Linked DNA regions of Mytilus edulis. The protein of the gene in region 2 purifies or fractionates together with the protein of the main gene of each other region. This does not show direct contact. Links are inferred from orthologs where the notes say so. Each region holds a gene or a part of one and is shown on either strand. Other genes may lie near its edges.

What was found.
Region 1: the proteins of exosome complex exonuclease RRP44-like (region 2) and exosome complex component 10-like purify together in Drosophila melanogaster (affinity purification with western blotting; 3 studies listed by BioGRID, with this or other methods). This does not show direct contact. The link is inferred for Mytilus edulis from reciprocal best matches to the Drosophila melanogaster genes Dis3 and Rrp6.
Region 3: the proteins of exosome complex exonuclease RRP44-like (region 2) and exosome complex component RRP42-like purify together in Drosophila melanogaster (affinity purification with western blotting; 3 studies listed by BioGRID, with this or other methods). This does not show direct contact. The link is inferred for Mytilus edulis from reciprocal best matches to the Drosophila melanogaster genes Dis3 and Rrp42.
Region 4: the proteins of exosome complex exonuclease RRP44-like (region 2) and exosome complex component CSL4-like purify together in Drosophila melanogaster (affinity purification with western blotting; 3 studies listed by BioGRID, with this or other methods). This does not show direct contact. The link is inferred for Mytilus edulis from reciprocal best matches to the Drosophila melanogaster genes Dis3 and Csl4.

What each region holds. Positions count from the first base shown.
Region 1 is NC_092356.1:21,512,324-21,520,160, reverse strand, and holds the start of exosome complex component 10-like, read left to right. Parts: upstream 1-4,837; 5' UTR 4,838-4,882; coding exon 4,883-4,960; intron 4,961-5,692; coding exon 5,693-5,829; intron 5,830-7,837. UniProt on the Drosophila melanogaster protein: Catalytic component of the RNA exosome complex which has 3'->5' exoribonuclease activity and participates in a multitude of cellular RNA processing and degradation events.
Region 2 is NC_092348.1:60,052,978-60,060,281, reverse strand, and holds the start of exosome complex exonuclease RRP44-like, read left to right. Parts: upstream 1-4,283; 5' UTR 4,284-4,387; coding exon 4,388-4,609; intron 4,610-6,357; coding exon 6,358-6,420; intron 6,421-7,195; coding exon 7,196-7,290; intron 7,291-7,304.
Region 3 is NC_092348.1:9,393,492-9,400,906, forward strand, and holds the start of exosome complex component RRP42-like, read right to left. Parts: upstream 3,018-7,415; 5' UTR 2,932-3,017; coding exon 2,875-2,931; intron 1-2,874. Other genes in the region: palmitoyltransferase ZDHHC3-like, read left to right, coding at 3,091-3,104.
Region 4 is NC_092347.1:86,019,443-86,027,449, forward strand, and holds the start of exosome complex component CSL4-like, read left to right. Parts: upstream 1-4,992; 5' UTR 4,993-5,070; coding exon 5,071-5,098; intron 5,099-8,007. Other genes in the region: protein FRA10AC1 homolog, read right to left, coding at 375-459, 1,011-1,094, 1,526-1,602, 1,885-1,930, 3,009-3,095, 3,290-3,351, 4,715-4,741.

The DNA.
Region 1 (7,837 bases), on a different chromosome or scaffold from region 2:
TTGATAATTCTTGATAAACATAAGAAATGAAATAGTATGACGAAACATACGAAATTGAAGTTATTTAGCTGTACGAGGAATGCATTCTAAAATCAGTCAAGTCGGTACTGTGGACGACAAGTGTGGTAAACTTATAGACATATTTGACAATAAAGCGTTGGAATCTCGTGTACACATGCACATGTTGTATTATAAATAAAATGTGTCTTAAGATTATTTTCAATGATTGCATTTTAGTTCCATTGATTTCTTTAAACCAATTATGAAATGTCAAAACTCTCCTATATTATATACATATTATCTTATCACTTGCATTAAACCAAAAATATAAAATTTTGAAAAGTTCAAATTGGTCAGAACTTCATTTTATTTTTTTATGAATTTGGATTTTGCTATTTTTGAAACACACGTACAATACATTTTGAGTGATATATATGGTTGAAATAAATAAATAATACTAAAGCATCACCGTATGTGATCAATTCAAACAGAAGTGGCTTGGGCTCTTCAAAACTAAGCAAAAGACTTCGATTACTGTACCTTCTGTTTAGATAAATATTTTAAAATTTCAGAATGAGTAATCATAAAACTGGAGTTGAACTTTAAAATGTTACTGTAAAGAACGGGGGGAAAAGTGTTATTTGTGTTAACTAGACATTTAGGATGAATCAAATTACATTATCATAGGCGGATCCAGGGGGCTCGGGGGGGGGGGGGAGCCCCCCTCTTTCGTGGGAAAAATTTGGTTGATTATATAAGGAATCACTGACACGTGACTGGAGAGGGGCCCCTTACATCAGTCAGCGGTCCCCCTTACAAAAAGTTCTGGATCTGCCACTGATTATTAATATTGTTCAGAGACGAAACATATTACAAGAAATCGTTTCAGCAGATGACCAGACATAACACTCTTTCCTGAAACTATGTCTTCTGCCAAAAAGACAGATCTCATAGATGTATTTAAGTTTATACGAGCGAGTGTGTCCTGGTGATGAACTAAAATGTATTTTGTGTATATGTAGTTTGTAGTCATATTTTATGTAATTAATGTGATGTCCTCTTTGTACCTTATATGTATTTGATGATGAGAATAAAGATAAAAAAAAATATAATGTGACTTTTTTTCACATTATTCGCAAACTCATTGCATATATATCTTAGGACAAAAAAGGGGGTAACTCCAGCACAATTAATCAATACGTCTTATAACTTTTCCAGTGAATGATCCAGAGGGGGCTTCGGGGGTTGGAACCCCCTTTTTTTAATGCATTTAAATAGGGACATGCAGTTGGAACCCCTTTTTATCCTGGGTTGTGAACTCCCCTTCAAAAAATTGCTAGATCCGCCCCTGATTTTTTTATATAAGAATAAGAAGATGTGGTATGCTTTCCAATGAGAATAATCTCCACCAGAGACCAAATGACCATGCAGTCATTAACAACTATATAAATCGCCGTACGTCTTTCAACAATGAGTAAAAACCATGCAGTTATAAAAGGCCCGAAATGACAAATAAATTTTGTAAAACAATCCAAACGAGAAAACTACCGGATTTATGTACAAAATAATGAACGAAAAACAAATAAGATATACAGCTTCAAACGACACCCACTGAATTACAGGCTCTGGCTTGGAATAAGCATATACCGGATGCGAATGGTTAAACCACGTCCACTTGTATTTTTGTCCATCTGATGAGTTAAGCCTTTTTCAACTGATTGTTATAGTTCGTTCTTATGTTGTACTGTTATACCACTGTCCCAGGTTAGGGAAGGGTTAGGATCCCGCTAACATGTTTAACTCCGCCACATTCTGTATGTATTTGACTGTCCGAAGTCAGTAGCCTATAATTCAGTGGTTGTCGTTTGTTGATGTGTTACATATTTGTTTTTCGTTTATTTTTTGTACATAAATTAGGCCGTTCATTTTCTCATTTGAATTGTTTATATTTGTCATTTCGGGGCCTTTTATAGCTGATTATGCGGTATTGGCTTTGCTCATTGTTGAAGCCGTACGGTGACCTATTGTTGTTAATTTCTGTGTCATTTGGTATATTGTGGAGAGTTGTCTCATTGGCTCATTGTCTAATTGCATGCAATGTATATGCTAAATGAACAGAAAAAAAACCTATAAAAGTTCCAGGCAATTGATGAGTATTATCAAACGAATTTCCGTCAATTCTCTTTGTTTGGAGCGTATGATTGTGTGTATATAGTACTTTACTTGTAAGGTTTCTCGACCTGTAGTAATATGTAATAAGAATTGACTGAATTTTGGTTGCTTATCGTCCAGTGGCAAATATTAGATGCATGAGATCAAATTAACAGTAAACGTTTATGTGCATCAATAAACGTGAAGAACCGTGATTGAAGTTGCGAGGCCTTTCATAGCTAACTGTACGGTAATTATCATTTCGTACGGATGTAAAAAAAAAACCGAAGATGCATAACAGTGGATTACATAAAGTTGAGAATAGAAACGGGGAATGTGTCTTAGAGACAAAAACCCGACAAAAGAGCAGAAAACAGCCCACGGCCAACAATGTCTTCAACACAGCGAATATTTGCCTCTAGACGTCGGGCAACCAACAATCAATCAATCAACACAGCGAGAAATCTCAACCCCTGTTGTCGGGATTCAGCTGGACTTTAGATAGACGCAGAAGGACTGTTACTAAATGTCGTCTCAATGAACCTGACCGTGTTATACACAGATGCACAAAGTACAAAAGTGCAACAGATTGAGATAAACTGTTTCTTTCATCTTTTGCACTGACATGCAAATATAAACACCAATTTGATAATTGTGTGTAAATAGTAAAGATGAAAATATTTGATTAAGATAATAGTGATACACACGGATCATGCGAAGGTATTGGATACAATTAATAAGACTAATATATTCAGTAATATAAACAATCAGAAAACTTTCTGGAAAGATGTAATTCAATAAAAGTTTTAATTTAACTTAGTATGAAAAAAGTAAAATCACAAAAATACTGAACTTAGAGGAAGATCAATTGGGAAAGTCCATAATCACATGGCAAAATCAAATAACAAAACGCATCAAAAACGAATGGACAAGACATGTCATATTCCTGACTTGGTACAGGCATTTTCAAATGTAGAAAATGGTGGATTAAACCTGGTTCTATAGCGCTAACCCTCTCACTTTAATGACAGTCTCATCAATTTCCGATATTTTTACATTGATGCGTTAAATAAACAGACATATAAAGAGATATAAGTGACTCCATCACTAAGACAAACCCAATGCATTTAGTATGTGTCTGTAATGAACATGTAATTAAATTAGGCCGTTAGTTTTTTTCTCATTTGAATTGTTTTACATTTGTCTCTTTTATAGCTTATGGTTGAAGGCTGTACGAAGACATATAGTTCCATATGTCTGTGCTATTTTGGTCTTTTGTGGAAAGGTGCCTTATTGACAATCATACCTCATTTTTTTTAAATTATTTATACTAGTTTGTTGTTATTTTAAGAGACTGCAATACTATGTTGGTTTGATAAGCTGAGATTTATTTTGTGTTTTCATGGTATTGTGTTGCTGTCGCATTGACGATACCTATATTATTGAGTGAACGTCGCTTTTTATTCATTTTCAGCACATCTTCACTAAAATAATAAAAAGCTGCCAGAGAGAGCTATACGGATCGATTTGACCTAAACGATAGGCATGAAAAACCTTAAACAAAATGGCAGCAATAAAAATGCCTGGTGAAAATGCAAGATATCTTTTTTTTAAATGAATATAGATATAAGATACCTAGTTCTTTGTTGACATCCTTATCTTGAACTACATTAATTGAAGCTATGTCGAAATATTTAAAGTGTAACGACGGGAGGTGTGCACCAAACGCAGCATGTGCGGCTGACAAGTAAAACATGTAAAAACAACATTCAAAATACTATAACAGGTAAACAAGTGATCATATATAGAATATGGAGAGAAATTGCCCATCTAGTTACGAATTTAATAAAGATGAGAAAAAATGAAAACAACACGTTATACGTTATATATTTATTTCTGTATATATAAATAGGTACGAAAAATTATAAACGGACAATTTTAAATATGTTATAAATCATGTAGGTATCGAAGTACTGACTACTGAACTGATGATATCCTCTGGGACTGATAGTCCACTAGCAGAGGTATAATGACTCAAAGAATTAAAACCAATACGTGAATTGTCCTTCTGACAAGCGGTTAAACCAGAGACATATATCACAGCCAGGGTTTTTTTTTTTTTTTTGGGGGGGGGGGGGGGGGGGGCGGACCTACCACTCAGTCTTCTTAAATTCTATCAGATTTTTTTTTTTAAAGAAGTAAATATTCCTATGATATTTTATTTTTTGTTCACTTATCATTTGCCATATTTTTTGCATTATATGAGATACATATAAAAAGCGTTAACACATAAAATTATTCGAAATCATTGACGTTACAACGTTAAAGAATCATGAAAATAAAAATAAAAGGGGGGTCCTTCCAGAAACATCTGTCTGACTTTGAAATAAACATAGGGAATATGATTGATAGATGAAAAACAATTACATTGTGTATAAGTCAGTACTAGTCTATACATCTTTTATCAACGATACACACATTCGATCAGGATACACTTTTGATGGCTCGTAATTCATATCATATCTGTACCGATATGTAGAGTATTTTAGACATTGATTTAGGTTCGTAAAATAAATGATAATAAAAAGAATATCTGCAATACTTCTAAAAATATCATTTGATTGAAATAGAAATATTTATTTTTGTTTTAAATTTGTTCTGTGGAATGCTTTTTGATCATTTTTTTTCTGAAAAGTTCGAAAATAATAAACAACAACAGAACACGTGCAAAATGTCAGAAGAAAAACAAACTGAAACTGAAACAGAAGAGTTTCTGCCTGGTTTCGACAGCCTAACTAACTACACACAGGTCATTTGTGTTTAAACCTCAATGAAGCAAATGCTTCTACTCATGTGTATCCTTCAGGCTTGTTATTTTAATTTGAGAGAGGTGTATGGAGTTGGCATCATTTGCTAATTATAGTAATTTTTAAGGTTCATGTGGACCCTTTGGCTAAAATTGCCGTATTTTCACATCAAAATTTACTCTAAGTACAGACAAACCTGAGTATCTGTAAAAGTTCAAAGGCATAGAAGCTGCCTCCTGGTGTGAGGCAGTAGGATGTTCTTGCTTTGTTGGAAGACCCAGTGGTGACTGTGTTGTTTTCTTCTTTTTATTCAAGTTGTGTTTGATATATTCCCTGATTCCATTCTCAGTATTTATTGATGCATCTAAATGGTCCAATTCATATGAAAAGATACCCAACATGACTTAACCGGATACATATTGAACAAATCAAAATATTAAGTTGCATTTATAAAAAAAAATATGACAACACTATGGAAAATCCTTGTAAAAGTAACAGACCCTCACCTATATTAAAAACCAACAGATGTGGTCTCAGGTGCTCGAGGACGGTTAGCAAATCAATGCAGGATACTGTACCTTCAGAAAATGGCATAGCCTGAACATGTTGAACACAAAACAAATGTAGAATCCCAAAAGTCTTGAAATCAGGTGCTATCACAACAAATTATCCTACATGTATATAATTACTTTGAGTGCTTTCATATATTTGATTTATAAATTATATATTTTCAGCAAGCACTAAAGACAGCTTTACAAGCTACCAAGTGTTCCAATGATTTACCAGCAACAGGAGATGACTTTGATTATTACTCCAGTTATCAAGGTGTCAGAGAAGTGTTGGATATTGAAGGCAACAGGATTCTTAACATGTAATTATAGATACATACATGTACATGTAGATAGATATAAGTCGATGTAGTATGAGTGCTAATGAGACGGTTCGTCATCATGGTCACAATTTGTAAAAGTAAACCATTATAGGTCAAAAGTACAGTAATCAACACAAACTAACTATTTTTAGCTCACCTGGCCCTTAGTGAGCTTTTCCCATCACTTGGCGTCCGTCGTCGTTAACTTTTACAAAAATCTTCTTCTCTGAAACTACTGGGCCAAATTAAACCAAACTTGGCCACAATCATCATTGGGGTATCTAGTTTAAAAAATGTGTGGCGTGACCCGGCCAACCAACCAAGATGGCCACCATGGCTAAAAATAGAACATAGGGGTAAAATGCAGTTTTTGGCTTATTACTCAAAAACCAAAGCATTTAGAGCAAATCTGAAATGGGGTAAAATTGTTTATCAGGTCAAGATCTATCTGCCCTCAAATTTTCAGATGAATCCGACAACCCGTTATTGGGTTGCTGCCCCTGAACTGGTAATTTTAGGGAATTTTTGCTGTTTTTGGCTATTATCTTGAATATTATTATAGATAGAGATAAACTGTAAACAGCAATAATGTTCAGCAAAGTAAGATTTACAAATAAGTCAACATGACCAAAATGGTCAGTTGACCCCTTTAGGAGTTATTGACCTTTATAGTCAATTTTTAACCATTTTTCGTAAATCTAAGTTATCTTTTACAAAAATCTTCTCCTCTGAAACTACTGGGCCAAATTAAACCAAACTTGGCCACAACCATCTTTGGGATATCTAGTTTAAAAAATGTGTGGCGTGTTTCGGCCAACCAACCAAGATGGCCGCCATGGCTAAAAATAGAACATGGGGGTAAAATGCAGTTTTTGGCTTATAACTCAAAAACCAAAGCATTTAGAGCAAATCTGACATCTGGTTAAAGTGTTTATCAGGTCAAGATCTATCTGTCCTGAAATTTTCAGATGAATCAGACAACCTGTTGTTGGGTTGCTGCCCCTGAATTGGTAATTTTAATGAAATTTTGCTGTTTTTGGTTATTATCTTGAATATTATTATAGATAGAGATAAACTGTATACAGCAATAACGTTCAGCAAAATAAGATCTACAAATAAGTTAACATGACCAAAATAGTCAATTGACCCCTTAAGGAGTTATTGCCCTTTACAGTTAATTTTTAACATTTTTCATAAATTTTTGTAAATTTTTTGAAAATATTTTCCACTGAAATTACTGGGCCAAGTTCATTATAGATAGAGATAATTGTAGCAATAAGAATGCTCAGTAAAGTAAGATCTACAAACACATCACTATCACCAAAACACAATTATGTCATGAATTTATCCGTGTCCATTGTTTAATATGCACAAGACCAAGGTGAGCGACACAGGCTCTTTAGAGCCTCTAGTTAAATCTGTATTAAATTAAAAAAACAAGAAACACTTATGAATCACATCAGTATGTATATATGATTTAAGACATTTAGGGTTGTACTACTACTTTATATTATCATGATTATATGACAAATGACATATTAATGTAATTCATAAACTTTTATGTTTTATGATTTTTAACCGGATTTTTGTGACAAAAATGTCGGTTATTGATTTGGGGATGTACGGCGGGCGGGCGGGCGGGAATCAAATGTTGTCCGTGCATTAACTCATGAACCGTTCAACCGAAGCTTTTAAAATTTTAATATGTTGTTACTGACAACTAAATGAAGGTCAAGTTCAATAATGGCGATTTTGACTTTTACCGTTCAGGAGTTATGGTTCTTGAAAGATTGAAAAATGGAGTTTCCAGTCGTGTTCGTGCATTAACTCATGAACCGTTCAACCAAAGCTTTTAAAATTTTAATATGTTGTTACTGACAACTAAATGAAGGTCAAGTTCAATAATGGCGAGTTTGACTTTTACCGTTCAGGAGTTATGGTTCTTGAAAGATTGAAAAATGGAGTTTCCAGTCGTGTCCGTGCATTAACTCATGAACCGTTCAACCAA
Region 2 (7,304 bases):
ATTCAGTGAAGAACAATACGAAGGCACTAGAAACTATTCCTAGCAACACCGATACATACAAGAACTCTTTCTTTGCCAAGAGCATACTTCACTGGAACCAACTGGAAGACCGTATTGTATGCGCAGATACCGTTGAGAGCTTCAATGCTGCTCTCCAACACCGTTCGTGATAGGTGTCTCTCTCCCGTTGAGTAAAAGCTAGAATTGGTGTCTTCAACGTACACATACACGGATACAGATGGTGGTCACAGACTTGCGTAAGTGGGGCTGGATTTAGGGAGCTACCATTTTTTTTTGGAGGGGCTAGTATCAGTATCAAATTTGGAAAAAAATGCAGGACAGGAGTTTTTAGTAAAGATCAGTAAAAATCAAGACAGGATGAGCAACTTGGCAAAACAAAAGGCTGGATGACAATTTATGTAAAAAAAAATCAGGATTTAATCCGATTAACTAATAAAAAGGCAGAACCGAATAGAGTGAAAAATAAAAAAAGTAGGATAGAGATTACAACTTAATAAAATGCAGAACAAAATGGTTACCCCCTCCCCCCTTAAAATCAAATGGTAGCTCTGTATCTGTATGTTACACAGTGCAGGATCCGATCGCGGATATATGCGCACTGGAAGGAAAGCGGGTTGGTTAGTCCAACCGTTGGAGGGCAGCCATGAATCCCTCAACTGTCTTTTGACATGCAATTTCCTCGTCCAGATGGTTCCACTCCACTATTGTTTTTGGTAAAAAAGAGTTCTTTTGAATGTCTGTTTTGCAGTCTATTAAATTGTACGATCGATCTGTTATTTCTGGTTTCTTGTCTTTCCACGATGTTTGTGTATTGAAAGTCACTAAAGGTTTTTGCCTTGACTTTTTTTTTATATAAATAAGGCCGTTAGTTTTCTCGTTTGAATTGTTTTACATTGTCTTATCGGGGTCTTTTAAAGCTGACTTTGCGGTATGGGCTTTGCTCATTGTTGAAGGCCGTACGGTGACCTATAGTTGTTAATGTCGGTGTGAGTTTGGTCTCTTGTGGACAGTTGTCTCATTGGCAATCATACCACATCTTCTTTTTTATATTGGCGTTTGTTTCTGGTCTTTTGCAGGTAATTAGTTGGATCAATAGCCGTCACCAATCCCTCAAACACTTTGTAGAACAAAGTCAGCCTCTGATGTTTCCTTCGTTCTTGGAGAGGTGGTAGTTTTAGCTTAGAAAGCATAGTATTTGTGACGTACCCGGTGTCTCTGGATTTATAATCGTGCAAGATGAAACGTGCTCCTCTTTTCTGTATACTTTCTATTTTTTCTATTTCCCTGATAGTGAATGGGTCCCAGATGACAGCACCGTTTTCTAGTACGGATCTTACCATGGCTAAGTAGGCAAGTTTTTTGCACTCTTAGGGGCACTGACGCAGGTTTCTTCTCAGGAACCCTAGTGTACAGCTTGCCTTGCTGGTTGTTTTCCCTATGTGACTGGTCCATTTTAGGTCATCAGATATGTTAAGACCTAGGTAAGGATTTGTTTGTACCTGTTCTAGTATGTGTTGTCTAGTTGGTAGAAGTGTGTTGATTTTTGTTTGAAGCTCATTATATAGATTTTTTTGCGTTAACTTTCATTTAGTGCCCATACTTCCAGAGCTTTTAGATCTTCTTGGAGAGTTTGATGGTCTTTTGTGTTGTTAATCTCTCGATAGAGTAGGCAGTCGTCTGCAAATAAACGAACTTGAGATTTTACGCTTTCCAGGAGGTCGTTGATGTGGCATAGGAAAATCAGCGGTCCTAGTACTGTGCCTTGTGGTACGCCAGAGTCTACGTGAGCATATGCTGAGTACTAACCTTCTACGACAACCCGCAATTGATAGTTTTTGCAGGAATGCTGCTAACCATTTGTTAAGATTACCATCTATTCCGTAACTGTTTAATTTAGCCAGTAGTTTTTCATGTGGCACAGTATCAAAAGTCTTTGAAAAGTCGAGTATAGCCATATCGAGTTGAATGCCACTGTCGAAACTCTTTAGTAGGTCTTCTGTTGTGACCACGGGAGGGGGAGGAGGGGGTAACTTCGATATTTTTTTGGTAGGGGTGTGCCATTTTTGCCTCAAAAACATACCCATTTTAATACAACATTCACTGAAATTCAGTACCTATAGTTATATAAATATTTAAGAAAGAATGATCTATACTTATATACAATATTACATATTATGAAAATCATATGATAAAATTATAAAAGTCTTGTTTATAAGTTAAAATCGTTTCGGAATAGCTGTTCTGTAAGATTCTCAATAGCATATTTATATATGATATGTAAATCATACCCATAATCAATATACAGTTATCAAACGTAAAATTAATGCATTTTAATATAAGATGTCATTAAAAAGGAGGGTCATTTTTATATAAAATCTCGCAAAATTATGACTCATATTTTTGGCACATCCCCGTATACCCAATAATAGGAAGTGACCCCCCCCCCCCCCCCTTGTGGTTGTGACTAAGAGCTGTGTTGTGCAAGGTGTTTACAGATGATGTGTTCCAAAAGCTTACATATTACACAGGTCAGTGAAACTGGTCTGTAATTCTCAGCTGCGTGGACCGTGGCCCCCTTCTTAAAATCTGGAGCTATGTTTGCACTTGACCAATCTTCAGGGAGAGTGCCTGTGTCAATTATTTTTTTAAAGATGGCGGAGATGCTAGGTACTAAACCTAAACTAAAAACTTTTAACCAAGCAGAAAGTGACCTACTACAGAAAGATCTGACATCATTAGAGGAATGGGAAGATAAGTGGCAAATGAGCTTCAATGCAAAAAAATGCATTGTAATTAGAATACATCCCAAGAACCGTCCGGTAATACCAACTAATTACAAATTACACGGACACACACTGGACACCGTTGAAGCTAGTAAGTACCTGGGAGTTACTATCAGCAACAATTTAACCTGGGACAGACACATCGACAACATAGTGGGAAAAGGAAACAAAACACTAGGCTTCATACGACGTAACTTAAAGGATTGTACTAAACCGGTCAAAGCAGCAGCATATTCAACAATAGTAAGACCTTCAGTTGAGTATGCTTGCACAGTATGGGATCCTACGAAACAGGCTAAAATAAAAGCAATCGAACAAGTACAGAAAAGAGCAGCTAGATTCGTAAACAACAACTACACAGACCGCACACCTGGCTGTGTAACAAAAATGGTAACATCTTTAAAATGGGAAAGCCTCGAAGACCGCAGGAAACAAAATAGGCTATGCATGCTGTTCAAAATCCAACATGATCTGATAGACATAGATAGGCACCAATATCTGACACCAAACGATAGCCGGACCAGAGGTAAAAACCGCTTCTTCCAAGAAAGGGCCACAACAGACGCCTTCGGACAATCATTTTTTCCAAGGACCATTAGAGACTGGAACCAACTTCCAACATCAGCAACATCAGCTGACACAGTTGATGGATTCAGAGCTGCCCTGAAGGCATGCTCTGCTAAAATTTAGACAGTAACATCCTGTAAATAGTTTTAATTGTATATATATAGAGAACGTTTTATCCTGTAAATAGCCAAGAGAAAACTTTCTGTGTTGTCCGACATTGCGTTAGTTTTCGCGGGACCTCATACATTCAAAATTTGAATTCGGTTCCTTACCTGGAAGAAGAAGAAGAAGAACCTGCATTGATGATGTCATTAATATATAGCCCCATTCACAGTGCTTTTCTAAATTGGCGTTTGCAGTCTTTTTGGAATTGTTTATATTCTTTGTAGCTTCAAGTTTTTCTAGCATGTTTGTGCAACCTTGCTTTACTTTTTAGCATTTTGCGTAGTTTTCTGTTTAACCGTGGAACAGAGTGCTTTTTCTTTATCATTTTAGATGGTACATTGGTCACAGTGTCAATTGTTGCCCGAGTGTACTACGTTCTTGAAGGTTTGCCAGGTTTTATCTATTGACATATCGTGTATATGATTATAAATGTACTTTGTTATGTTTATGTCCGTTTTAATCTGATCCCAGCTCCCTTAATCCAGAGACAAGTCACATATACACATATATATGTCTCTACTTAATCAGACTGTACCCGATGTTCTGTTTTCATAATCAGCTAAATCAAAAAAAAAGAATTTCCTAACCAAATTTGTTAACAAATAACCATGTTATTAAGAAACATCAATGCTTTGTTATGTTTTGCACCAGTTATTCGTAAACTGCATTCAAATGAGTCTTTATGTCTCATTTCATTAAGGAACTTAGCTGTCTTTGTTTTTCCAAGTGTTTAGCTTGTGTCATTTGTTATACCGAAAGACACTCTTCGATGTTGGAGGTACAAAGAACTATCATTTCCGGTAAAAATAAACGCATGTGAATTTTATTTTTGTATTTTAAAATCGCAGAAAATGTTAACAACAAAGACTTTTATCAAGAAGACAAAGAAAGGGAGTATTATAAAGATTGTGCGAGAACATTATCTCCGTGATGACATTACATGTGGATGTCAGAGTTGTACAATCTGCGACAAAAACGATGTCAAACCTTTGGAAAGCAAACCTGTCAACAAAAGCAAATTATGCAAGAAGTCACACTATCTTATCTTGGACACCAATGTAGTTTTTCATCAGGTATAAAATTTACAGGTTCTTTGTTTTTATTATTGAAATCCAGGGTAGTTACACCCACATTACAATGCATTATGGCACATACCTGTTTAAGTGTTTAGGATGTTGATTACATGGATCAAGATATGTTTCTTACTATTTAATATGAGGCAGCATTACCTGTAAATGGGGACGAAGTCTGTATGAATTATTTTTTTTGTAACTTAAATATTTGTTAAAAAAGAGAAACGGAAATACTGTAACGTTTCCTATTTTGGTTCTGTTGTTATTGATTTCAGTTGTGACGTTATTTAAGTTATGACGTCATATGCAATGTAAAAAAAGAAACGCTATCATCAGGTAATGTTTTTTCATATCAAGGAATTATTAAAAATGAAATTGGTATTGCGTTCCTTCCTATTTTATACTAGACTGATAAGTATATATTTTACTCAAAGTTTCATACAAAGGAGACCGGAGAAAGGAAGTACATTGTAGATTTCTGTGCAGGTGCGTGAATTTTTTTTTTTTTTTTTTTTTTTTTTTATTGATTTTTCTACTGTTATTGGGGACTTTGTCCCCATATAAATCAAGAGTGCATCCGCTGTTAGAATATGTGACATGTCTCTGGTAACTGTACCTTTAAAAGACATCCGCAAACTGGAATTTTTACAAAGAAGGGCATCAAAATTAGTAAAAAATATATATCATCTTAATTATGAAAAGACTACGTTCACCTTGGAATATCGTAGCCTAGGGATACATGTAGGAATGATAAGATACAAGTCTTCAAAGTGTTGCATGGTATAGATGACATCAACTGGATGAGCCTATTTTCTTTAGCACCATCTAATAATAATACTAGAGGTCACTAATTAAAACTTTGGGGGGCTAGGATGAAATTTGAAAAAAATAGGCAGGACAGGAATTTTGAGTATAAAAAAAAGAATGCAGGATGAGACACTTGCAAAAAAAAAAGTCAGGATGACAATTTAGGTAAAAAAAAAGTCAGGATAAACTAAAAAAAAAGAAGGCAGGATCGAATAGAATAAAAAATAAAAAGGCAGGACAGAGATTACAACCAAAAAAAAATGCAGGACAAAATTTTTCATCCTAGCCCCCCCCATAAAAATCAAATGGTAGCTCCCTAAGTTAGCATATATTTAAGAGTGATCTCTCTTCAACCTGTTAAATTAGGTATTGAGTATTGTGGAAACAGTTATTCCCATGATTATTTAAAGCTATCAAATGGATAAATGCTCTTTTTGTTTTGATATTTATTACAGTGGACATCTCAATTGATCAATTCCAATTGAAATATATACTGAAACAATTGCCACTTTAGAGATATGTGTTAAGGAATGAGCTCTTATCATTTCTTTTTACCAGTTTGTTTGTGAATGTTTTGTGAATGTTTGTTTTTCTTGTCAAGTGATTTTTCAGGTGCTTGCCTTTCACTTCATTCAAATTTTATGGTCCCAAGAAATTGTTTTGATATAGTTATATTTATGTATGCCATATGATGTAAAAACAGTATGTCTTCATAGAACACATATTATACATGTACATACAAGTATATATATTATTTTAGAAAAAAATTTAGCATTTTTTTAGCTATTTTTTTACACAAAGTCACACGCCCTTTCGGTTGGGATTTTGCATGTTTTGAAAAATGGTTGACAATAAGGGATGAACCCTTAAGAAACATTTATATAAGATTACATATGTCTTGAATTTTTCTTTTTTAAACCAGTTTTTTTTTAATTTTTCAGATTGATGTAGTTGAAGATCCCTCAATTCAGAATGTGATAGTTCTACAGACAGTTTTAGAGGAGGTAGGGTGTATTAGACTTGTTAAATGTTACAATAATAATATATAATAAATAAAGGCCTTTTCCATAATGTCAATATTTTTGCTTTTGTGTGGAGGGTTGTTCAGAAATTACTTTTTTAATCCACCATTTCAGCACTACAAAATTCAAATTCAGATTGAAGGTTCTTACAGGACAACCTACATTATTCTTATATTTTCAGTATCTCCCTCCTCTCTTTTCTTGTATTGACAAAAAATAGTAGGTTTCATGTGGATGTTTGAAATCATGGTTTTGCCAAAGTCTGCATTCAAGCCTTTTCAAAATTTAAAATGGATTCAATGTATATTCAAATTTACAGTTCACTTTTACCAATGAAATCCACGATATTTGGTAAGCCCGGAATCATGATGAATCCACAGTACATGTTAAATGATGTAATTAAGGAGGTAGACCTAGGTTAAGGGAAATAACTATTAAAATCATCAGTACGTTTGTGTCAACCATTTTCATAAATATATTCTAAGCTTCTAGGTTACATAGATTATTTCCAATCTGTTTCAGGTAAGTGCTTAAAAAACATTGATGAAACTTGACTTTAACAAACACATAACTGATTTAAAGAGTTGTCTCCCTGAACAAAGGTCTACCACCTTAAGTGCATATATTTACAAATATATTGTTTTGTAAAAGTTTTAGTACACATAGTTGTAAAGATATACGTATGTATATAAACATTGTTATTTTACTTTTAAGTTTAATAAATTAATAATTTACCTACAATGTAAATCTTTAACAGATTCGACACAGAAGTGCTCCTGCTTACAAGAGAGTCAAAGACTTCATAGCAAATCCAGACAAACATTTCTACACATTCTGTAATGAATTCAACAAGTAAGTTCATATTG
Region 3 (7,415 bases), about 51 Mb from region 2:
GTCGATATTTGCAATATTTTGATTCTGGTCAATTATTTCTTGCTTAACAATATTTGACTTATTTAAGTCGTATTTTGTCTTGCATTAAAGGGAGACAAATCCTAAAACTTACAAATTTAGACCTCTATGAGTCAAATGCAGATTCAGACTTATTTATGTCTGAGCTCTGACTGATTATTTTAAAAACCTCCACTAATTTTAACATCCCCGAACAGTGAAATTTTTATCGCGAACAGTAGAATTTTATTACATAATCTGAAAGATGAAACCTTGAACACACAGGAAAAATACTCCCACTGCTGGGAAAAATCTTTGAAGAAAGTATCAATTCATTATGTAAAGCCATTATTATAGCATTTTTTCAACTAAAATAGAATTTTCAGCTACATGATAGCATCAAAGGCATAACCCTTGCTACTTAAAAGAAGCAAAAAGTTCATTTTTTTTCAATTTTAATAATTAAAAGATATTATTTAACACCTATGTGTTTAAAAATTTGAAAAAACTACAAAATCCTAATTAGTGACAAAACTTCGAATTTGCTACTCAAATAAGTGATTTAAAAATCACTTATTTCAGTAAGTCCCCTGACTGATAATGATGGGAGAAGACTTTATAAGTTTGATTAACTTGTGTCTCATCCCTTTTGAACATTTACGCAAATAAAATATGTTTAAACTAAACTGATAATGATTACTACCCTCATTCTGGTCCAAATAATTATGACGTCTTGGAAGGGTATTCTAAACTTTTGCTTTGACCCCTTCCTGCAAGGTAAGGCGTCAAAGAAAAAAATATAATAGCCTGTCAAGATGTCAAATAATTATTTGAACTACCCTGTGGGTCTCATTGAGGTATAAGCGTGACACTGGATTGCCGATTTTTTGTAAGCGTGACACGTGAAAATCAAACTATTGTCTCAGGAAAACGGGAAATGAGGTTTAGCGAGACCTGGGAAATGACAAGAAAATGAGAATTGCCTACATACATAGTGTAAGCAGGATACGGAAATCTGACAAAACAGTAAGCGGGAACCGGGATCGGAGCCCCCAATGAGACCCCCTACCCTCATTCAAGACGTCATACTCTGTCCTGTTAATCATGCTGTGAGAGCTATGTTAACTTTTGAAACGACACTGAAAATAATGGATCATTTATAAATAATCAATTATTGTACAATACAAATCCAGGCAGTCTATCTATCTATCTTCCCGTCAAGGAGTGGACTCATATTTGAGTGTATATACTCCAGCGTATATGTCAGTGATATATGTCAATTTATTATACGACCTCCAGCACGGCTTCAGACACTCTAGATCATGTGAAACACAACTTCTATCTTTTATACAAGAACTGGCTTCAAATTCAGACAATAACACCCAAACAGACCTTGTAATTATGGACTTTGCCAAAGCCTTTGACAAAGTCCCACATCAAAGACTCTTATACAAACTACACTTCTATGGAATACAAAATGAAACACTTAACTGGATCTCTGCCTTTTTATCAAACCGCACACAAACAGTTGTCCTGGATGGAGAGTCATCAGACGTTGCTCCAGTTACTTCTGGTGTCCCACAGGGAACAGTTCTGGGTCCAGTTCTATTCCTGGTTTACATAAACGACCTACCAGAATATTTGAAAACCAGTAAACTCAGACTGTTCGCCGACGACAGCATCATTTACAAAAGCATCAAATCTAAGGAAGATTGTGATAGTCTTCAGGAAGATCTTGATGCTGCTGCAAAGTGGGAAGAAGACTGGCTGATGGCTTTCCATCCAGACAAATGTACAGTTCTCACAGCCTCAAATAAGAAAAATACAATTAAAAAAGACTACATTCTCCACAGTCATACACTAGAATCTGTCTCCGCAGCTAAATATCTTGGTATAACACTACAATCTGACCTAAAATGAAACCAGCACACAAACAACATCATTGGCAATGCAAATAAAAGTCTAGGATTTCTAAAAAGAAATCTAAAAACATCAATCACAAACATTAAGTCCCAGGCATACCTAGCACTTGTCCGACCAAAACTAGAATATGCTTGTTCGGTTTGGAACCCTCATACTGCTGAACAATGCAATAAACTTGAGATGGTTCAACGTAGGGCAGCTAGGTATGCCTGAAATCGTTACCACAACACCAGTAGCGTTACAGACATGCTCAATACCTTAAATTGGCCTACCTTACAACAACGCAGACTTAAAACTAGACTTATAATGTTCTATAAAATTGTTCACCATATTGTCGCCATACCATCAGATTTACTCATACCAACAGACAATAGAACCAGACAATTCCATCCACAAACTTACAGACACATACTTACATTTAAAGACTGTTACAAATATTCCTTTTTTCCGTTTACTATTACACAATGGAATGTACTACCTCCAAAGGTAGTACTTTCTCCGACCTTAAATATTTTTAGAGAACAGTTGACACCTACTGTTCTCTACAATATAAAACAGTAAACCTAGTAGTTATGTAAATAGTTTTAACCACATGTCATGTTAGTATTTGTTTATTTTTGGCACTTTTCTTTTGTAAATATCTATTTATTATTATCCTACGCATGCGCAGCAGTTAGTAATCATCAAAAATCTGATGGATAACTGGATACCATAAGAAGAAGAAGAATAAGAAGATATATGTGTAGTTCGAATAATTATAACATTCTGGCAAGGCTGTTTTATTTTTTTTCTGAGACGCCTTCGTGTCGTAGGAAGGCGTCCCAGAACAAAAATAAAACAGCCTTGCCAGAATGTCATAATTATTTCCACTATGATGATATGTGTTGCCAGTTGGTTTTTTTTCAGAAATATTTTTCGTACAAAGAATTAAATAGTGAATAGAACTTATAAAACCTGAATGCCATGTATAATAAACACTTTCTCAGCATCACTCAACAAAGCATCAACCATGATTTTATCATAAAACTAATATCAACAGGGAAGCATGGTAAGAATAAATAAACCGGAAGTGTGAAGAATGCGAAAAACGTCATCAACAATTGGAAAATGTCGGCGCCCTGTGCCTGGTGATCCCAAACAAATCTCACATTAAAATTCCTTCTTTATAGAATGGATGACCCTCTGTAAGACTTATAAGCAAAACTTTTCGTAGTAGAATACACTATTTTCCTCGAAACGAACAGAAAAAGCATACATGAGAGAACAAAAACATGTTTATTCACCTGAAATTCCTCATTGAATCAGATTATCCAAAAAGATGTGATATTTCTTTCACATACATTTTGTTCCACTGATAGACTAAATGAAGCTGAAACAATGATAATTGAAAGTAGAAATTCTATTAATAAAATGGCTTTTTGCAAAGGCAGTGGCTATTTTACCGGCACCGGCAAAATAGCAAATTTGTTTAGCCGGCTCTGAATAAAATTGTTCATTGATCATGTTGATGTGATTAGTCATGGTAGTAGAGAATGAAAAAATCTTCATAATAATTTAAAATCTTTTTATCACAATATCAAGCACTAAAAATACAGTACAATCAAAAATAAAATATTGAAGATGTTCATATAAATAAATAATTTATAACTTAACCCTTCCAACGCTATACACGGCATATGCCGCGATGACGTACGCCGTTCGCCACTGCTATTCGCGGCATATGCCGCGATGAAAAAGGATTTTTCATAAGGACTCTTAAACCATTCGGTTTTCATTCGGGTTCTCTCTAATTTTTCCTCGTTTGAATCTAGGATATGCAAGGTCTCATTTGCGCTTGAAATCCCGACAATTTTTATAGTAAAATCATGCAGTAGAAGGAAAATAGAAGGAAAATAAAAACAAATATTTTGACAAATGCAAATGGCGGAAATCGGAAACGAAGCTGTAAATATGGAAAAATTTCAGCATTTCCTTGGCGAAACTTACAACAAGGATTAGTTAAAAGGTTTCTTGTTATCTCAATGTGTTTATTACATAAAATTCGTGTGGGAAATATGATTTGATCGATCATTACGAGACGTAGAAAAAGGGGGGAAAACGGAGGTTGACTGAAATTTTTTTTGACGGAGCTATTTATTTGTGCCACGATTACATAAAACGTTATGTATGGTACAATACGCTACGAAATCGGGCAACTGGTGTCTTCTTTACAATATGGCAGATAAAACAACAAAATAAATGAAGACTAAAAGTAGTTTTTATTCAAAATTCAACACAAATGTAATAAATTACACCTTTTACCTGTTAATTACCTGAAAACGCAGGTAACCTGATAAAAATTTCAGTAAAATAATTGCCTAACATTACAGTTCATGCTCTCCTGAGCATTTTTCATGCAATAACTTTCTCTGTATCTCATATAATAAAAAAGATACAGCAGTCTGAAAAGGAAAATACTGTTCTAATGAATGTACTAAAAAAAAATGCAGCAGCAGCAGCCATTTTTCTATTTTTTTGTGTAGCGTTGAAAGGGTTAATAATATTGATTAAAAGCATGACAACACCATCAAAAGATCAAAGAACTATATGGACCATAATTTGCTATTGGGCTCGTTTCCTATAACGATAGAAAAGTGATAAAAATGTGTATTACTGTAAGAAAAGTTGTAACTACATCTAAAGATGCCTTTTTTTTTATCAACATACAAGTGTATGCTACTCTTCCCTAGAAAAAAAATTGAAATTAACAAATTTCAAAGATTATACGACCGTATTTGTGTGTCGTTTCTCGCGTTACTTTTCGCTTCTGAAGTGCATAACGCTGACTGATTTATAGATAATCGTCACCGGCAAATTCGTAACTTTTGCTTTCAAATAATAAAGAACATCGACCAATAAGAATAGTCAAAAGAAAATGCCGAGAACTATATAAGTATTTCTGTAGCAGGTGTAAGAACACTAGCGTTACTTTGGTTTCCCATTACGCAACGCAAATTTTAGATGATGTTATCTGCTTTGTTGTAATAGAATTCTTTATAACAATATGCAAATATGAACTCTCGCGAGATGTTCAAACAGGTAAATCAGAGATGATTTACATTCTAGTTTTGTTCTTCGTAATAATTAAGTTAGAAAAGGACGTTATCGTTATGCGTTACATTTCACACGAAACAGAAGTCCAGTTATTTCCTTTTTTTTTTATTAAAATTGTTTTTGTCGTTAAGTTCTAATCATTTCCGGTCATATGTGAAACATGTGACTAACATGTGATCACGCCCTTATGGCCGGATATATGAAATACTATAGGTCTAAACATTGTTTTGTTTCCAACGGGATGTTAGCAAACATAATCTGTAGACTTGTTTCGTCTTGTTTAAAAAAGGAAAATACAATTTTCAAAGAGATTGCGCCAGGGGTCTATTATTTTTCCTATGTGCATAATGTTACATACGATCTTGTGTGAAAATAATGCCCAAAGACTTGACAAAATCGATTTCAGATTTGACAGACGTTATAACACACTCCGTTTCCGGATAACGATGTAAAGAGTCCTTGGAAAATTCAATCGACATTACGTCTCTTATCATTGTGCAGATGGTCGTTGGATTGATTTTGCTTCAGCAGTAAATATTACTGGATATTTTAGGTGAATAAAGATAATTTAATAAAAAATACATGTTAATATACCGTTACACTTGGAATGTACAAAGTTTATATCTTTGTCACAATTTTTAATTATTTTTTTTTTATTCATGTTCTGCAAACACTTTTCAGAAACGCAATAAACTTGTCAAAGGAGAAGTAAATATTACCATGCATGACTTGAAAGGAAGTACTTTATTGATTTTAGCCCACTAAAGTAGGTTAAAATGTGGAAAGCATGTAGATGGTGTACAGGTCACAAATATCACATGGTGCCTATTTTAAAGATTTTAATTACAAGTTAAAAAAAATTTCTTTACTGGATTTAAAGAATTTTACATTGCCAATGATTTGGAATAAATTGTATATAACTGAAATTTCAAAACCATCTATAAATACATTTTTTTGGCTAAAACATCAAGATACAACGATTATGGTATCCTGTATCAATGAAGAAAATATGGAAATTTCTGAATAAATTGTACTAATTGTTTTCAAAACAAGCACATATTTAGGAGTTTTATAATACTGTTACATTTAAGATGGATTTTCAGAAAAAGTATACTGTTCAGATTATTTTAAGCAGATTTTGCAATAAAATAAAACTAAAAAAATGCTTTCGGTTTCTTATGGTTTCCTGTTGCGTTTAAAAAAATCTTTAATTTAACATTGAAAATAGATTTTGAATATTAACATGAATCAAGTAACACTAGTAATGGTGTTCATTTATGTCTTTTGAAATATATTGTGCAAAATAAAGAAAATAAAGATTGGTTTCCTGTTTGGTTTCCTGTCACGTAAACGGTGAATCAAAATGTCATGAATGTATTAATTTTTTCTTGAAAAACCCAATTGTTCCATTAATACTATTCTGACACCAACACAACCCACAGAATAAAAGTTAAAGTTTTAGAACTTATAAAAAAGGATACAAAAGGAAACCAAAGGCCGAATACCAAATTATGGTCCATATATAGCTAGCTGCAAACTGCAGTTCATCCGAGGAACTCTGTTTAGTCTTTAAGACCAACTTAAACCAGAGTGTGATAAATCACATCCCGCACAAAACCCCTTAACGAAAAGACAGCCTGCCTTGGCTCACACCATCAGTATGCAAACTTAAAAAACGCCTTGACAGATTGTACAAAAACATAGAAAGTCAGCTGAACTTGCAATAACATCCAAACTTAAAGAAACAAAGAGAATGGTACAAAGAGAGCTCCGTCGTTCAAATTTTCTACCAAGGACACATACAATGAATACGAGTTTAAATCCAGATGCAATATGCCAGGTCAATATCCCTTAGCAGAGGAACTCAACATCACAGAAAATGGTTTACTCAAACTTCTGAAAAATAATAAATCCAAATACAGCAGCTGGACCAGATAATATAAAACCTAAACTACTCAACGAACTGGCTACAGAAATAGCCCCAATCCGAACGTAACACCAGTATTCATTAATAGAGTACGCAAGTCCAGTATGGGACCCATACTTTAAAACAAAAATAGATTGTCTAGAAATGGTCCAGAGACGAGCAGCAAGAAATGTGTCCAACAAACACCATAATCACTCAAGTGTCAGCAAAATGAGTGAGCACCTGCAGGAATGACCATCTCTGCATGGGAAAAAGGAGAAAAGACGCTAGACTAACCATGTTCTATAAAATAGAATACAACAAAGTGGCTGTAGCTAAGGAAGGTCGTCTTATGCTACCAACACCACTGTTGAGGAACATGCACAACAAAAGTTTCCAAATTCCAGTTGTTTGATACAAATTTCAAAAGGACACATGATTTAACATTTGCAATTGTTACAAAACAAATTCTTAACCTTTAGAAGTTGTTTTAATC
Region 4 (8,007 bases), on a different chromosome or scaffold from region 2:
TCTTAAACATAGTTTACATATATAAAATTATCAGCCTGGATACTATGTTAATTATATACAAAAAGCATTCCCCTGCATTAAATTTACCAATCTGATACAGGTAGACAGGCTGCTATTTCACATTCTGACTTATTAAGGTAGAAACACACAGTTAGGAGTGTAGTTTCCAATTTTGACCCTAGTGGATTTTTCAAATATGTTTTTGTACAATAAAATTTATTTTTAGACAGCTGATAACTTATCTAGCCTTCAAAGCTGGGTTATAAGAAGACAAACAGAAATCTTAATTTGAAAGAAGGCAAGTGAAAGGGAAGGTAAAATCTATGAGTATACAGGTAGGTTACATTCAGGATATTTGATTTTGATAACATCACCTTGTTTTCCTTGTACCTGCTGAGATCTGTAATACAATACTCCTTGAACAGTTTGTCATAATACTTCTTGGCGAGTCTCTTCTCCCTGTTGATACAAAAAATATTATTGAGTCTGTGTGTCATATGAACCTTTCAGTATAATCTCAATTAATGTATAGATGCTCTGTGATGTTTTAAAGATGTCAGACAGAATAAGACCAGGATGAGGAATATCATACTTTGGGCAGATGAAGAAAATGCATTGAAACCTGTCGAAACCAAATCTTGCAAACACCAAAAAACCTGGCTTCACCAAGTATGATCTTACGCCAAGTTATATCAAATTATATGTGTTGTGAACCTGATGAATCAGATAATCTGACAAACAGAACAAATCTTAAGTCCAGAACGGGATTGGTTCAGACAGGTTTCACTGTTCTAATAATTTGTAAGATGATTTCCCACATGACAGTTAAAAAGACACTGACTCTAGCATAAAATTGATAGCACAATCCTGTAAAACTTGAGAACCATCATATAAAATGTAGTTTAATGTAGATTCTTATATATGCACCATAATTGTCATATTTACAATGATAACATTAAGGAATATTTACTAGAATATTCAATAGTTTATGGATACACTATGTTAAATACCATGTTTCATCAGGATCATCTTCTTCATTCCATAGGAATCTGTGATGCTCTTTAATAACATCTATGTCTCTTTTATCTTTGGAACTAGAAATATATTTATCATTAAATCAAAACTCCAAATGAAATTTATGCAAATGAAAGATAGAGGGGGAAAAAAAATTCTTTTAACAAAGATGTAACCAATGTTCAAATCAAAATGATATCATAAATTTCACTTCATTTACATACAATTTTATATTCTAAAATGTAATTTGTGTTTAAATTGAGATATGACTAGGTTCAAATTTAAGTTTAAATTACATAGACATTTACCTTTGTAGCACCAAAAGCAAAATATGTTCAGAAATAATACTTTTTGTTTAATAAGTCTTTATAATAATGAGAACACATTTGAAGTGTCATTAAGAACAACTTTGGCAAACTTTCAAGAGTTGTCTCCCCTTCTTTTAGTAAGGATGTTTTTTTAATCTTTTAGCAAAATAACGAGTTGTAAGATTTATACAATTAATGCATACCTGTCTCTTTTAAAATCTGCCTTTGATCCACTGTAGTAAAGTATGTAGTCGTTAATAAACTTCTTATGACGTGCAAACTGATTCAATGTCAAGGAAAGTAAATAATGTTCATGAATATTCAAAATTAGTCTACATCAAAATATTATTTTTTGGTATTTCAAGAAAAATAATTTTAACATTTATGTTATATTTTAAATGTTATTTCAAAACAGTCTTCCCATGATATCAACCAATAGACTCATCTTCCTTTCAATTTAATCTACTAAATATGCTATGCCTTCACTTTGCATTTGTTGTTTGTAAATAAGTATGTCTTTAAACATCTTCTATTTTCATTCTATACCAACATAAAAGGATACAGCATCCATACTAAGAACATGAAATCTTTGGTTTTTCCATTCTTCTCTGAAATCAGAATAAAATGAAGTTCACAATGCAACATTTAAAAACAAATATAGATTAATGAATATCATATCTGCACAGTGCACTTAGTCTAAAATTATTCATTCTTGAGAGAAAAAATAATATTCCTCAATTTTTGTAAATGTGGAATTTAAGACCCGAAATATGATTGATGTGATCCCATAAAACAGATAATTCTAACAGTCTTAATTTGATGACGTCTAATATATATTATCAAATTGTGAATAAATCTCTACATTTCAATTTTCAGAGAGTAAACTACTTCTTACCAATTTCAAACAACTCACTAGCCAAAAACTAAGACATTACTTCAACTGATTTCTTTTATTATAATTTCCTTTTTGTAACAAATTATAAAAAAAAAGGTAAGCATTTTTTTCTGTTGAAATATAGCTTTGCTATGTTTACAAAATTATTTATGTAAACCAATACCAGTCATTTATAAGACATGTATTACCAAAGTAAAACTTAGTAGTCATGATTTAGCTATAGAATGTGGTCGCTATTCTGCAATTCCAAGAAGCAATAGACTATGTAGTTTTTGTAAAAATGACATTGAAGATGAGATGCATTTATTTTAAAATGTCCTACTTATCAAGGTCTTAGATCTTATTTAATAAAACCATATTATTGGAGAAAACCTTCTATGTATAAATATATATATTAATGAGTTCTAATAATCTTAGAGAATTATGTTATATGGGTAAATTTATATTTCGTGCACAAAAATTAAGATCTAACATGATGTAATATGTTTCACACATTACCTTCTGCTATCTATGTATACTTTGTGTAGTTTATATGTTGTATGCCTATAGTTGTTATGACTTTGGTAAATAAAGATATAATATAAGATTTTCCTGAAATTGCTGTAAGCTAGGTATGGAAATATTCTACTGTGAGACTTTTGCTTTGAGATCTACACCATCTTTTTCTGTGTAGACATATTCACTAAGTAGATTGTAAGATAAGTATAGGTTTTTGGAGGATGTTCTTTCTTAATTTAATTTTTTGAATTTTAAAAAAAAATATTAATATTAAACTATGACATTAAACATACTTGCTGTATTCTTCTTCGACATGTCTTTTGTTTGTTATCTTTTCTGATGCTTTCTTCTTTGGTGGCACTAAATCATTCCTCTTCTCTCTGAAGAATAAAATCAAATATGTCCCTTACTGCTCACAGAATCATAGATTTAAATTTATATCATCTTTGAGCATAAGGTAATAACATGATATCATTTTTAAAGTAAAGACAAACACCATTTCAACAATACATGTATCATAATGATATCAACATGTCATCACAGAGGTAAAATAGGAAAACTAGACAATAGTTACCTTCTCCTGTCTGCTTCTGAGTCATATTCAAATTCTGAATCAAGACCACCTCCTTGGTGAATCTAAAATTTAAAAACAAATATCAGTCAGGGGACTTACTGAAATAAATGATTTTTAAATCACTTATTTGAGTAGCAAATTCAAGGTTTTGTCACAAATTGGGATTTTGTAGTTTTTTCAAAATTTTAAACACATAGATTTAAATAATATCTTTAATTAGTAAAATTTAAAAAAAAAAAGAACTTTTTGCTTCTTTTAAGTAGCAAGGTTTATGCCTTTGATGCTATCATGTAGCTGAAAATTCTATTTTAGTTGAAAAATGCTATAATAATGGCTTTACATAATGAACTGACACTTTCTTAAAAGATTTTCCCCAGCAGTGGGAGTATTTTTCCTGTGAAGTTCAAGGTTTCATCTTTCAGATTATGTAATAAAAGAGGGACGAAAGATACCAAAGGGACAGTCAAACTCATAAATCTAAAACAAACTGACAACGCCATGGCTAAAAATGAAAAAGACAAACAGAAAAAAAGTGATTTTTATGTCATTATCCTTGATTCAGTACAAGGTCATCACCTGAAATGACCTGGTCATCCTAGACAACACAGATGTTGGTTCTGATAAGTTTAGAAACATAATTAGTCCCTGGATCATTAGTATTCTATATTTAAAGCTACAATAAAATTAAATCACTTCTTCTAGTGATTTATTTGTACTACTTAAATAGGTGATTATTGAAGAAAGACAACTCTAACTTCCAACCTTTATGGAAATAATGTTACTTGAATCGGTGATTTAGAAAATCACTTATTTAAGTAAGTCCCCTGACTGAATATACTTAAATGTAATCTCAAAGAATAAGACTTAATTAAGTTACATCAAATATCTACTTACATAAGCATCATGATGGATGCCACATGTGGAGAAAGATCTGCTTACCATTCCAAAGCATTTGAGGTGGGTTTTTTTTAAATTTTACTAATTCCTCAGTTTTTGGAAAGGTTCAGGTTGCTTATTCTTTGGTTTATTATACTGTTACATTGTATATTGTGTTTGTAAATTGAAAAACAAAGGATGAGAGGGAATTAATCCACATAAAAAAAGTATTTACACACATAAAATAAACAACTGCACTTTTGTTGTTGTACTTCATGTGGGTCTCATTTGGGTCTAAGCATGACGCGGAATTGTCAATTTTTGTAAGCGCGACATGTGAAAGTGAAATTATTGTGCCGTGAAGACGGGAAATGAAGTCTAGCAGGACACAGGAAATAACGACAATTGTGTAAACAGGATACGGGAATCTGACAAAACAGTAAGCGGACCCGGGATCAGAACCCCCCACCTCCAATGAGACCCCCCTTCATCCTGATGTTACAGTAGCTTGTTTTGTATATTTTATTGGTTTTTTTTAATGGTGTTTACCTTTGCAAGATCAAAAGATTCTGCCATATTAAGACATCAAATACAGACGGTATATTTCAAAACATAAGCAAGAATAGAATATTCATATAATATTGTTCTGCACTTTCACTTTTGTTTCAAAACAGGATATGCTTTGGACCATCTAATTTTGAATAGGGGTAACTGTGTCAAAATATAATATTTATCTAAATAAGTCTCTCTTTTTCCTGCGGTTTATATATGTTAAAATACATTGTAACAAACAAATAAAGAAGTAATTTGTAAACTAAGTCTAACTGTTCATTGTGAACAATACAAAAATGACAAATCCTACACCAACTTAAAACATTCACACCCATGAAATAGAACAATCCAATATGTCTGCGCCCAGGATTTGTGTTCCAGGTAAACATGCTCAAATTCAACTGATTCCTGTCATATTTTACAGTAAAGATTAAAATTTTTACGCACAAAAGCATAAGCAATTAATTTTCAAGTGAAGACATATCATTTTATGTGATTTAATATGAGGCAGGCATTACCTGGGAATGGGGACGAAGTCTATGGATTTTTTTTCGTCCCCATATATAAATGGCACTGGCTACGGTTACATGGAAATGTAACAATAAAAAAAATATTATTGTTACATCGGAGACAAAATTTCTTACAGCTATAGGAACGAACTCTGAAAAAAATGATATATCAAAAGCAAGGTTTGCTAACTGCTAAGTTGGATACTGAAATTTGAGGTAAACCTAAAATCCGTAATGGACGGCAGTGCGATCATATTGAAAGACGACATGAAACTATACCACATGCTTTCAACCAAAATATTGGATGAGGAAGTATTTCTCACCAGAAGCATGGCAAACATTAAAGGTTGCCTTATCTTCTAAAAGGAATATTGCAGAATAGAATTGCACGGTATGCAATACAGACGTTCGTAATGCGGCATCACTGGGAATCCGGGTCCGTTCGCGCCCATTCACGTTCGCACCCACTCATGTTCGCCCCCATTCACTTTCGCACTCTACATGTTCGCACCCAAAGTCCGTTCGCACCCTACATGTTCGCGCCCAATTTTAACTTTGTAATCAAGTAGTATTCTTATAAGTATTATTGTTTTCATTGTCTCAAAATAAAGTGATACAGCATTTTTTTGTGTTGAATAAATCTTTATCATGTTTTGGTTAGTGTATTACTATAACTTTGTTTCATTGACTTGTTTCAAAATGAAGTGAGATTCTGACTACGTTTTTTTTTTAGTCTTGAATAAATTTTATCATGTTTTGGTTATAATAGTGTATTGCTATATTTTATTGTTTCATTGTTTCAGATTAAAGGGACCAAGCTGTTAAAAACAATTATCTTTTGTGTTTTTCATTTATAATCTTCAATCTTTTACTCATACCAAGCTATAAATACATTCAGTATTTACACGAAAGCAATTAAAAACAACAATGATTATTCAACTGGAATTTGAATTAAAATTGGGCGCGAACGTGTAGAGTGCGAACGGACCTTGGGTGCGAACGTGCGAGGTGCGAACGTGTAGGGTGCGAAAGTATATTGGGCGCGAACGGACCTGATACCCATCACTGGTGTGTGATGGCTGCTTGGAGTGGATTCATCAAAAATGCATCGGACTTAAACATGCTCCAAAACCACTTACTCAGGATATGTAGAAACTGTCATTGTAAATACAAAAATAAATAAATTGTATGTAATAATTGTATGTATTGTAAATATAAAATAAACGTCATCAATTTTTATAAATTAGTACATCCATCTTACAAGTCCCATCGTACATTGCTGTTTCAAGTTCATGTAACAATAACGCTATGTAACCGTAGCCTCAATATTTATTGTTACATTCGTAATTAATCAGGTCCTTACCCGACCATGCATTCCGGTATTTAGTCTCCAATGTAACAATAATATTTTTATACCCCCGCTTTAAAAAAGGGGGGGTATACTGTTTTACCTCTGACTGTCCGTCCGTCCGTCAGTCAGTCCGTCCCATGAAACTTTCGTCACATTTTTCTCAGGAACTACACATCCACCCTTTCTGTAATTTGGTATCAACATTTATATAAGTCAGCTATACAGTGTGATGCGTTTTCAGATTCATCACTCGACAACTTCCTGTTTACCGAACACTTGTATGATTTTACACATGATAACCAAGTTGAAAATTTTCGTCACATTTTTCTCAGGAACTACAATACAAGGATTTCTGAAATTTGGTTTCAGGATTTATATAAGTCAGCTATACCGTGTGATGCGTTTTCAGATTCATCACTCGACAACTTCCTGTTTACCGAACACTTGTATGATACACATGATAACCAAGTTAAAACTTTTCGTCACATTTTTCTCAGGAACTACAATACAAGGATTTCTGAAATTTGGTTTCAGGATTTTTATAAGTCAGCTATACCGTGTGATGCGTTTTCAGATTCATCACTCGACAACTTCCTGTTTACCGAACACTTGCATATTTTTACACTATTAATATTATCCACTTGCGGCGGGGTATCATCAGTGAGCAGTAGCTCGCAGTTTCACTTGTTATTATTGTTACATTTCCATGTAACCGTAGCCAGTGCCTATATAAATCAGACTAAATCAAATACACAGTATGGCAGTGTAACCGGAGAGCACGAATTTCATTACAAAATTGCTTGTCTCCACCGGGACTCGAACCCGGTACCTCTGTGTTACAAGGCAGCGCGCTAACCCACTGGGCTAAAGAAGTACTTCCTTAGCTCAACCGCTTATGGCTGACTAGTTAAGTACCTACTTAAGTTTTTCTAAAGGAAGCAATCCTGTCACAGCAGTAACAAATTCTAAATCTAAATTGTCTCTATAAATTTTTGAAAATCATTTCTGCTATTGTCAGAATATTTTATGATCAATATCTGAAGTAAATGCCAAAATGAAGATACCCACATCAAACCCGTGCTGATTCATAGATAAGAATAACTGTTGGGATAGCCAATACACACAATTTCTAGTATTTTTATGCTCGCTCCATTTACTGGGCATTATGTTTTCTGGTCTGTGTGTTAGTCCGTTTGTCCGTCCCACTTCAGGTTAAAGTTTTTGGTCCAGGTACTTCTTGATGAAGTTGAAATCCAATTTATGGGCATTATGTTTCTGGTCTGTGCGTCTGTTCATTTATTCGATCATCCGTCCCACTTCAGGTTAAAGTTTTTGGTCGAGGTAGTTTTTGATGAAGTTGAAGTCCAATCAACTTGAAACTTGCTACACATGTTCCCTATGATATGATCTTTCTAACTTTAATGCCAAAT